Linked DNA regions of Callithrix jacchus. The protein of the gene in region 2 binds, or shares a complex with, the protein of the main gene of each other region. Links are inferred from orthologs where the notes say so. Each region holds a gene or a part of one and is shown on either strand. Other genes may lie near its edges.

The links. Proteins that work in one complex are often made in the same cells at the same time.
Region 1: the proteins of ARRB1 (region 2) and GRM3 are in contact, whole or in part, in a cryo-EM structure (PDB 9II2), measured with the Homo sapiens proteins. The link is inferred for Callithrix jacchus from reciprocal best matches to the Homo sapiens genes ARRB1 and GRM3. Residues at the interface, in NP_004032.2 of Homo sapiens: Gly5, Thr6, Arg7, Val8, Phe9, Lys10, Lys11, Ala12, Ser13, Pro14, Tyr21, Arg25, Arg65, Glu66, Asp67, Leu71, Gly72, Leu73, Thr74, Phe75, Arg76, Lys77, Arg103, Leu104, Lys107, Pro133, Arg236, Phe244, Asn245, Thr246; in NP_000831.2 of Homo sapiens: Pro605, Lys608, Ala609, Ile669, Phe670, Asp671, Gly672, Val673, Lys674, Asn675, Ala677, Gln678, Arg679, Lys681, Phe682, Ser684, Cys761, Pro762, Glu763, Phe765, Val834, Val835, Thr836, His837, Gln855, Ser856, Ser857, Ala858, Ser859, Thr860.

Annotation. Positions count from the first base shown.
Region 1 is NC_133512.1:63,164,240-63,168,340, forward strand, and holds the start of GRM3 (metabotropic glutamate receptor 3), read right to left. Parts: upstream 2,802-4,101; 5' UTR 2,741-2,801; coding exon of another isoform or gene 2,657-2,740; intron 1-2,656. UniProt on the Homo sapiens protein: G-protein coupled receptor for glutamate. Ligand binding causes a conformation change that triggers signaling via guanine nucleotide-binding proteins (G proteins) and modulates the activity of down-stream effectors.
Region 2 is NC_133511.1:65,597,426-65,601,728, reverse strand, and holds the start of ARRB1 (beta-arrestin-1), read right to left. Parts: upstream 2,803-4,303; 5' UTR 2,690-2,802; coding exon 2,670-2,689; intron 1-2,669. UniProt on the Homo sapiens protein: Functions in regulating agonist-mediated G-protein coupled receptor (GPCR) signaling by mediating both receptor desensitization and resensitization processes.

The sequences.
Region 1 (4,101 bases), on a different chromosome or scaffold from region 2:
AGAATTACTCCTGGAGAAACAAATCTCACGCTGGAACTTTGGCCACATTCCAATGTGCGTAAATGAATCCTGCCCTCCTTGTTTCATGATAGTGATTAGGTATTAATTTTCATTTCTTTTGTTTAGTGAAATGTTGGGATGATGTTTAGTGCTGGAAAACAAGTGGAAAATTCATCCCTAAGCCAATGTGCTACATTTTGGCAGGAGGTAGCTAGTATCCTGGAAAAAGATTATGCTTCGTTTTGTGACTGATCACTATTAAAAGAATGGACAAGAGAGACAACAGTTTTATTTGGAAAAAAAGATAGTTTGACACGAAATAAAAATGAGGATGATGTACCCAGGGAAGTTGTAAAATGTTATTGCTGAGAATCTTTCAAAATAAGACCCATCTCTTCAATTATGTTATTCCAGCTATTACCTGTCATAAAGTAGAGAAGTGAAGCAGGTGACCTTTTGACAATTATCCCAGTTATTTTCTTCAATACAAATATTAATTTCCACTTAAAGATAATGATCACTTTTTTGTTAGATTTATGTTTGTTGAACTTACCAATTTTAATTGAAGTGACATAAAATCAAAGATAAGCTCATCATTTGATATGTGTAATTGTGGGATAAATCATCTGATTTATACTCACTTGTTTTCATATGTATACCACAATTTTTTTAAAAGCCCATTATACCAAATAGAGTGGGTCACAGAGTATATTTTAAGCATTTATAATATTTTTTTTGTGTGTGGTTTTTCACACATTTTCTCATTACTAATCATATATTTCTGAAGTTTGAAAAATACCATTCAATTTAAATAAATAGAAAGGTGCTCATTTCCTTCAAGCTCTGAAGTGTGGCCTATTCATTGTGCCAGCATAATTTTCTATGATTTAGGTTTCACACTTCATTGGTAATGGCCTAACTCATAAAACTACAGTTTTATATCTAGATATATAGTATCTAGGGGCAGGAGGGGTTTCAATGCTAAGAGATATAGTTGCCATATTCTTCTTCAGCTAATAAAGGTAAGTATTCTGGAATTTCACTGTTTTATTTCTGAAATTGTAGGTTTCAAGACTTCTGTTCCTCATTTTCCATCATGAGCTCCTGCGTTACTCTGAACATAAGATAACCTTTCAGCATGTTTATTCAAAGTATCTATATGTTCCTGCTTGGTGATCAGAATCCAATAGGATGGACAGGTGTGAGAAATCTTTGTAGATATAAATCACTACCCATTATGAAAGGAAAAATATTACAGTCATTTCTGGTGTACAATAACTTCCAAATATATTCATATTCTATTGGGCTGCTTTTAGGAACAAGGTAAATAGGAATATAAAATCATAATTATTCATTGGAGTGTCCTAAACATCTTTGGTAGGAACTGTTATTGGTAGTTTAGCATAATGCCAATCTAGATCATTTTAGCCTATATTAAATATGCTCCTCCAAACAATTAGAGCTCAGAGAGGAATCTTAAAATGTGTGATCAGATAAACCAAAGTAGACTTCACCCCCACAAACTCCCCTCCACCCATCACAAAGAAACATACTGTAGCTCTGTTGAACAGTTCTAAGAAATTCAAGCAAAGAAACTCTAAGGAACTATTGTTCATACTTAGCTCACATCTATGTCAACTCACATTAACCTCAACTTTGAATATTCCAATATGTATCTACATATAGACCCCAAACATATCTACTACTATTCAAGTAATAGTAGAAATATTTATAAGCAAATTAGTTGAGCCCTTAACCACCCCGATCTTTAGAGGTGTACAGCTTTATTTGCAGAATTTACAATATCTAAAATAAAGTGGGAGATGCTGCCTTAATATATTTACCTAAAAGTGTTATACCTTAGAGAATCGTCCACCTTTGTTGACCCCAGGAATAACTAGAAGAAAATTTAATGAAATTCTTAAGAAACAAGCTTATTGGATATATCACCTAGTCTATTTTTGGATCGCAAATCTCCCGCCCTCTCCGAGTTATCTCACTGTCAGATAAGAAAATGGAACAGGGTCGATGAAAAGATATGCTCCCTGTCTGGCTTTTCGATTTTTCACTCAAGCCAAAAGGAGTAAAGGGCAGCTAGTTAAGGTTCCTTTCCAAGCGTGCTTGCGGGAGGGCAAACCTCTGGCCGCCTCCGGCTTCAGAGCTTATCCAGACTGTGTGGACCAGGTCCCGCTGACCGTTGCCCACCTCTGCCGGCAACCTCCACACCCACAAGAAACCGCCAGTATGTCAGCCAGTCATCGCGCGGATTCCTGTGCACAAAACCTTAGGGAGCCCCCAAATAGAAACAAAATCTGAGCCCAGAGCTGAGATGGAGGTAGTTGGCTGCTGAGACTGGTCTCTTTGATGGTCTGTGAGGGCTAGTTGGTCCCTCCACCTCTCGCACCCTGGCTGTAGATCTGTGCCCTGAAATCTCCCTCCTCCCAGACACAGACGTGGGCGCACACACACAAACTCTCACTCACGCACACCCACATCGCCTCTGCCCTCCACCCGTCCCACTCCAGGCAGTACTGTGGGGACTGGTCCACGCTCTGCCTCAACTTTCCTGGCTGCGCCTGCCCCACGCGCACCCGAGCTTCTGCGCCCAGGCTGGGCGCCCTCCAGAGGGACGCGTCCTCCTCTGGGCCCCCCTTACCTCGCACCGACAACTCCTGGTAGGAACTGGAGCTGACCGTGGTGGCAGCGACGGCGGTGAGCCTGTACCCGGGCTCTGGCTCATGGTGGGTCCTCCTCATCCGACACAAAAGAGGTAGCTTGCTGGCTTTGTCCTTTCCAAATCCAAGGGAGAACTTATTTTGCCCTCGAAATGGCCAACTTGTGCGCGCAGCTTCCTGTCACAGTGCCCCCTGCCCCCGCCCCCTCCTGGCGGCACGCTGGACCACTGCCCGGTGGCAGAGCATCCAGGCCTCCGAGTCAGTGGGGAGTGGGAAAACGGAGGGTGGAGTAGAAGAGAGGGAGGAGGTTGGGGAAAGGGGGGACCCAGTGGTCTTCCGTGGAGGGGAGGGGAGCACTTCCCAGCCGAGTCCCCTCCTCCTCCTCTTATCAGGCAAACCCACTTCCTAGGCGTGGAAGCAACTTTCCTTCACCTTGACCAAGCTGAAACCATTGCCTCTAATTGGGAGTCTGGGCAGAAGCACGGACCTCCTGGCATCCTCTCCTTTTCATTCTTTCTTCCCTGTCACGTTCTTCTTTTCCCTGTCCCCCTCCCCCACCCTCTCTCCTTTTATAGGGGTGTATCTGCAGAGTCTTCAGTGAACCAGGGTACCTAGACGAGAGGATTATTATACGCAAAGGCGGGGTGGCTTTGCTGACTCCTTTGCCTCACTCTGAAATCCTTAGGCAGTGCATGCAAAGGCCAGCGAATTTCGGAGTGGGGTGAAGGGGCATGGGGCGGTAGGGAGGGTGGCGGCTCCAACTTTGAAGCCCTGCTAGAGCTCTTGGCTTTCGGGTGAGGAGGGACTAACTGTCCGGGGAACTCTCCTGTGGTCCCTGCGCAGGGGGCTGACCACAGGCGGGAGGAGACCCGGAGAGCAGGAGCAGAGAGGGAGCGTGAGAGCCAGGGAAGCCGGTGCGCAGCTCAGCCCTACTCGCAACTCTACTGCACTCTGCGAGCCGCTGGAGAGGGTTTGTGCAGAACAATCTCTGGGTCAGGCAGGAGGGAGACGCTCCTGTTTCCTAGCAACCCGTATCAATCTTGTCCCTCTGAAGGAATTCGATTGGACAGCCCCTGGAGAGAAGCCACGCCCATCCAGGAATGCTGGGCTGCTGCTTTTTCGCATTCTCCCAAATTTCTTGGGTGGAATAAGATTATAGCGGAGTGCTCAATTATCTTTCTTTTTATCCTTCTATGCTACCACCTCGCCTTCTTAAAGCTAACCCCCCCACCTCCTCATTAGTCCTTCTCTAGTCCTATTATGGTTGTCAGATACAGTCAATGTTTCCTACAGAACCTCTTCTTTCTTCTTAAAATTAAATAAATAAATAGGAAATCGATGACGTAGGCACAAAAGAGAAAAAGGCACACGGAAATAGCTTTAATAGGCTGCACACTACAGATAAAATCCTAAAGGTAAAATATCA
Region 2 (4,303 bases):
GTCTTTAAAAAAAATAAATAACTAAATGAAAATTTTCATTATCACTTTCATATGGGGGTGCAATTCCAGATGGAGGGATGGATTCGATAGTTCCTGATGTTCAGTTTTAGATATCTGCAGATTCCTTTTCTTAGTCATAGATAAAGTAGAATCTCATGGCTTACAAAAAAAAAAACAGGGTACAGCCCATTCCTGATTTTGCCCTTCTCTTCCAAATTACTTGGCAAACTGTCTGAAAAGGGAAAGAAAGTCCTCATAGGACTGCAGGAGAGTCTGAGGGGGAGGTCAGGGCCACCATCAGGTGGGTTTAGCCAGGCCTTGGCTCTAGGCTTCAGGCAGTGCCTCTATCCCTGCCCAGCAAAGTCAGTAAGTATACAAGGGGAGCCCTAAAATGGAAGTATTGATATAGCTTCAACTTACAAATGGGAAACTAAGGTCTGGAAAGGCAAAGGCAATTGCCCAATGTCCCAAAGGTCCACCAGTGGGTTCAAGACAGGGCAGGGGGAGTCATGGAAAATACCCTGGCCTCGGAGACAGGGTCTCCAGCAGGTGCCTGGAAGCCCATGGTGTCCTCATCTTTCTGACAATCCATGTCAGCAGGACAGCAATGACACTTATCCCCCCAAGTCACAGGGAGATACAGAGAGACCCAAGAGAGGCTGAGTCACCCTGATCACAAGGCAGCCCAGGAAGGACACGGGAGGGGAGAATGGCTCAGACTCCCTGCCATGCCCTGCAGGAAGAAAAGCCCGACCTCATGGGTCAAGAGAGTCTTAATTTCGGGGCAGATGGATGCGGCTGGGGAGGGAGTCACACATCTTCCTCCTGCGGACAGAGGCCTAGGTAACAGTGCTGGCCAGCCAGCTGCAATGGGGACTAGCCATCGAGGTGCATTCAGAGACACCATGATCTTCTGCAGTCTCCCTCAAAGGCCTGGGCCTCCAGCACAGAGCAGAGCACCCCTCCCTGGCACATGAGGGGCCTGGCAGTGCCCTAGGGCCATCCACAGAGACATGACCAAGTGGACTCCAGCCTCTGCCCTGCCTCTAACCCATCTTGACCTTAAGCAAATCACATGACAACTCTAACCCTCTGGTTCCTCTGCTAGAAAACAGGAAAAGGAAAATTAACCTCCTGGAAGAGCTGTCAGGAGGATGGTTGGAAAGTAGTTTCTAAACATTAAGAGCTTGAGTTGCTTCGGAGACTTAGTTTCTTCCTCTAGAAAATGGAAATAATCTCTGGAAGCCCTTTCTCATGCTGTTGAGAGAGAGCCTTAGATGGCAGTGGCCCTGAAAGGTGGTGCCCTCTGGGGTGGTCTCTCTAGTTTGTTAGTTCCTTCAGGGGAGGAAGGGGCCTTGCACATCTTTGATCCCCCACAATATGCCTAGTATACAGCAAGAGCTCAATAAATAAATGGAAACAAGGAGAGGGGAGGGAAGGGAGGAGGGAGAAGGTGGACACAAGGATAGGAGGGGAGGAAGACAGAAAACAATGAGAAAGAGGGATGGAAAGGGGGTAAGACGGGGACCCCAGGGAGAGGCTATGTGCAGACTTAGTGGATAGGGAGGGCAACGGGGAAAACTGGGTGACAATGCTGAGCCCCTGAGGAGTGCTGGTCCTATCTGAAGGGCTGCCCCCAGGGGCTGCCCTGCTCTAGCCTCTTCCCCTTTTATCCCAGTTTCCCCTTTCAGAGGCATAGACTGCCTCTTTCTGAGTCTTTCAGGCCAGGTTTCAGGAGAACAGAGGGGCTCTCCCAGCCCTAGGTTCAAAAGAGCTCCTGGCCAGCCACTCCTCAGGAGGTCAGAGAAAAGGGAGCAGAGGGTATGGATGGGATCTGGATGGGATGGGATCTGTTTTCCCAAGGCTGGGGGTGGTGGGGAGTGCTCTACCCTGTGTGATGTGTGTATTTCCACTTCTGGCCATGTGGGGCCTGGAGCATGTGTGTCAGCGGGCCTCGGAGCTGGCAGCTTGTGCCTGTAGGGTGCCAGTCTTTGCAGGCATCAGTCTGATTGTGTCTGTGGGGGTCAGTGTTGGTGTGGCTTTGCGCTCCGCTGTGGTGAGACCTGCCAGCAGCACAAGTGTGTGTGCCAGTGAGAGTGATATGTGTGCCAGCAAGGGTGTTTGCTACAGCGAGTGCAGGTGACAGTGTGCATATCAGTGTATGCCCACACGTGTATACCAGCACTAGGGTGTGTTAGAACTGGTGTGTGTTGGAGTGTGACCTGTGCATGCCAACAAGGCTGTCAGCAAGAAAGTGTTGACTGAGGCGTGTGTGACGGTGTGCCACTGCGTGATGAGCGTGTGCCAGCGGCTGCCAGTGTGTGCACCAGCATGCATGTGCCACGGGTTAGTGGGTCCGTGCGTGTATTGTGTGTCAGTCTGCCTCCGTGCGTCTCTGCGCCTGCTGGCCAGTGCTGGGTGTCAGCGAGCTGCGAGTGTGTCCGGGCCAGGAGCCGCGGCCCACATGGGGCGGCCCAGCCCTTGCCCTTTAGTCTCCACCGCCCACGGCCCTGCCGGAGACCACACAGGAGACCTCGGGTGGAGGAGAACCGGTACGTGATCCCAGGGTGGCCCTGAACGTAGAACCAGGACGCAATCGGAGCCCCCGCCCATGCCCTCGCCGAGGTCGCCCCCACGCGCCCCGCGCCCGGCGGCCACCCTGCACTCACCGTGTCCCTTTGTCGCCCATGGTCCGCGACGGTCGCAGAGAGGTCCGTGGCGTCAGCGCCCAGGCTGGAAAATCCCCGGCCAGCAGGAGGAGCGCGGGCCAGCCCGCTCCCGGCTCCCTGCTCCGCCTCCTCCGTTCTCCCGGCCGCCGCCGCTGCCGCCGTTCCCGCCCCCGGTCCCCGCCCGCCGCCTGCCGCGCGGAGCCGCGCAGAGCCCGGGCCGCTGCCAGGGGCGTGGAACCACGCGGGGTGTGTGCGTGTGTGTCTGTGTGTGCGAGTCTGCGTGTGCGCGCACCGCCCAGCGAGCCAGGGCAGTGCGGCTGGACGCGTCAGGGCCCCAAGGTTCGCGTTTGGGGGTGTCCCCCCGGGTGTGCGTCCGTGTGTGAGCCTGTGTGTGTGTGTGTGTGTGTGCGCGCGCGCGCGTGTGTGTGTGAGCCTGTGTGTGTGTGTGCGTGTGTGTGTGTGTGTGTGGTGGTGGTTTGGTGTACGTGATGGCTCACGGCTGTGTGCGAGCCCTGTTAGGGAGTGTATTGGTGTGGATGGAGGAGTGTGCACGTCTTTGTGCAATTGTGCGTGTGTGCGCACGGCCGTGGGTGCGAGCGCGCTCTCCCGCGCATGCCGGGGCAGCCTTTGTGTGTGCGGGTGATTGGAACCCGAGGGTTTGGCGACCCCGAGGCCGAGCTCCCTGCCTCCCCTAGCTTAGCAGAAGACCCCAGGATGTCTGGCAAGGCCTTTGCCCTGTGCTCCACCCTTCCCTATCCCATCCCACCTCACCCAACCCCACCCCCTTCATCTGGAGAGGTAACACCGAACCACCCTAGGGGACAGGAAGAAGGGGTGGAGGGGGCAGTAGACGGCCTTGACGCTGGGGAATTGAGCAGAGACCAGAGGTTAGCAGGGGCTGCAGGAGGCCACCCGGAAAGAGGAAGCTTCGAGAAGTGAGAAGAGGCGAGAAAGGAAGAAAGCAGAGCTGGCCTGCTGCTCCCGCTGGGTAGCACGGTGGAAAGCGTCCATGCCCAGCGCCGTGGCCTGCTGCGGGTGACCCTGTACACCAAGCTTCTGAGAACCCATGTCCAGACCTGTAAAGTGAGGATACACTAATATCAGCCTGCAGAATTGTTCATAGGTTGAAAGAACTCGCTTGTGTTTGCTGACCTCCCCTGAGTACCTGCATACAGTAGGTGCCCAGCAGATGTTAGCTCACTCCTCTGCAGGCTTCTTGATGTCCTGTGAAATCTTGGCTGGGACCCTGCTTTGTCTGAGGTGCCTTCCTGCTTTGCAGGTAGTGGGAAATTGTAAGGTTTTTCCTACACCCTCACTACTGAGATTTGGCTAATTAGCCCTAATAGGTCCCTGATATCTGAGTATTAAGGGAAAAGGAAGCTATCATTTACTCTGATGCTGTTGTCGGTATGCAAACATCTCCTGTAATTATGTCCAGAAGCAGTTACCTATACTGTTTATATGCAGCATAATTACTATAATTACGTCCAGATTTGGCAGAGGGGCAGGGGGAGGCTGATGGGTAGGCAGGGTGGCCCACCTCTGGGCAGTGTTAAGAGCTAGAGAATATGGATGAACCCTCCTCCCAGTCTTGGCCTCTGGGCTTCACCGTCACCCCGACAGGGAAAGAAGAG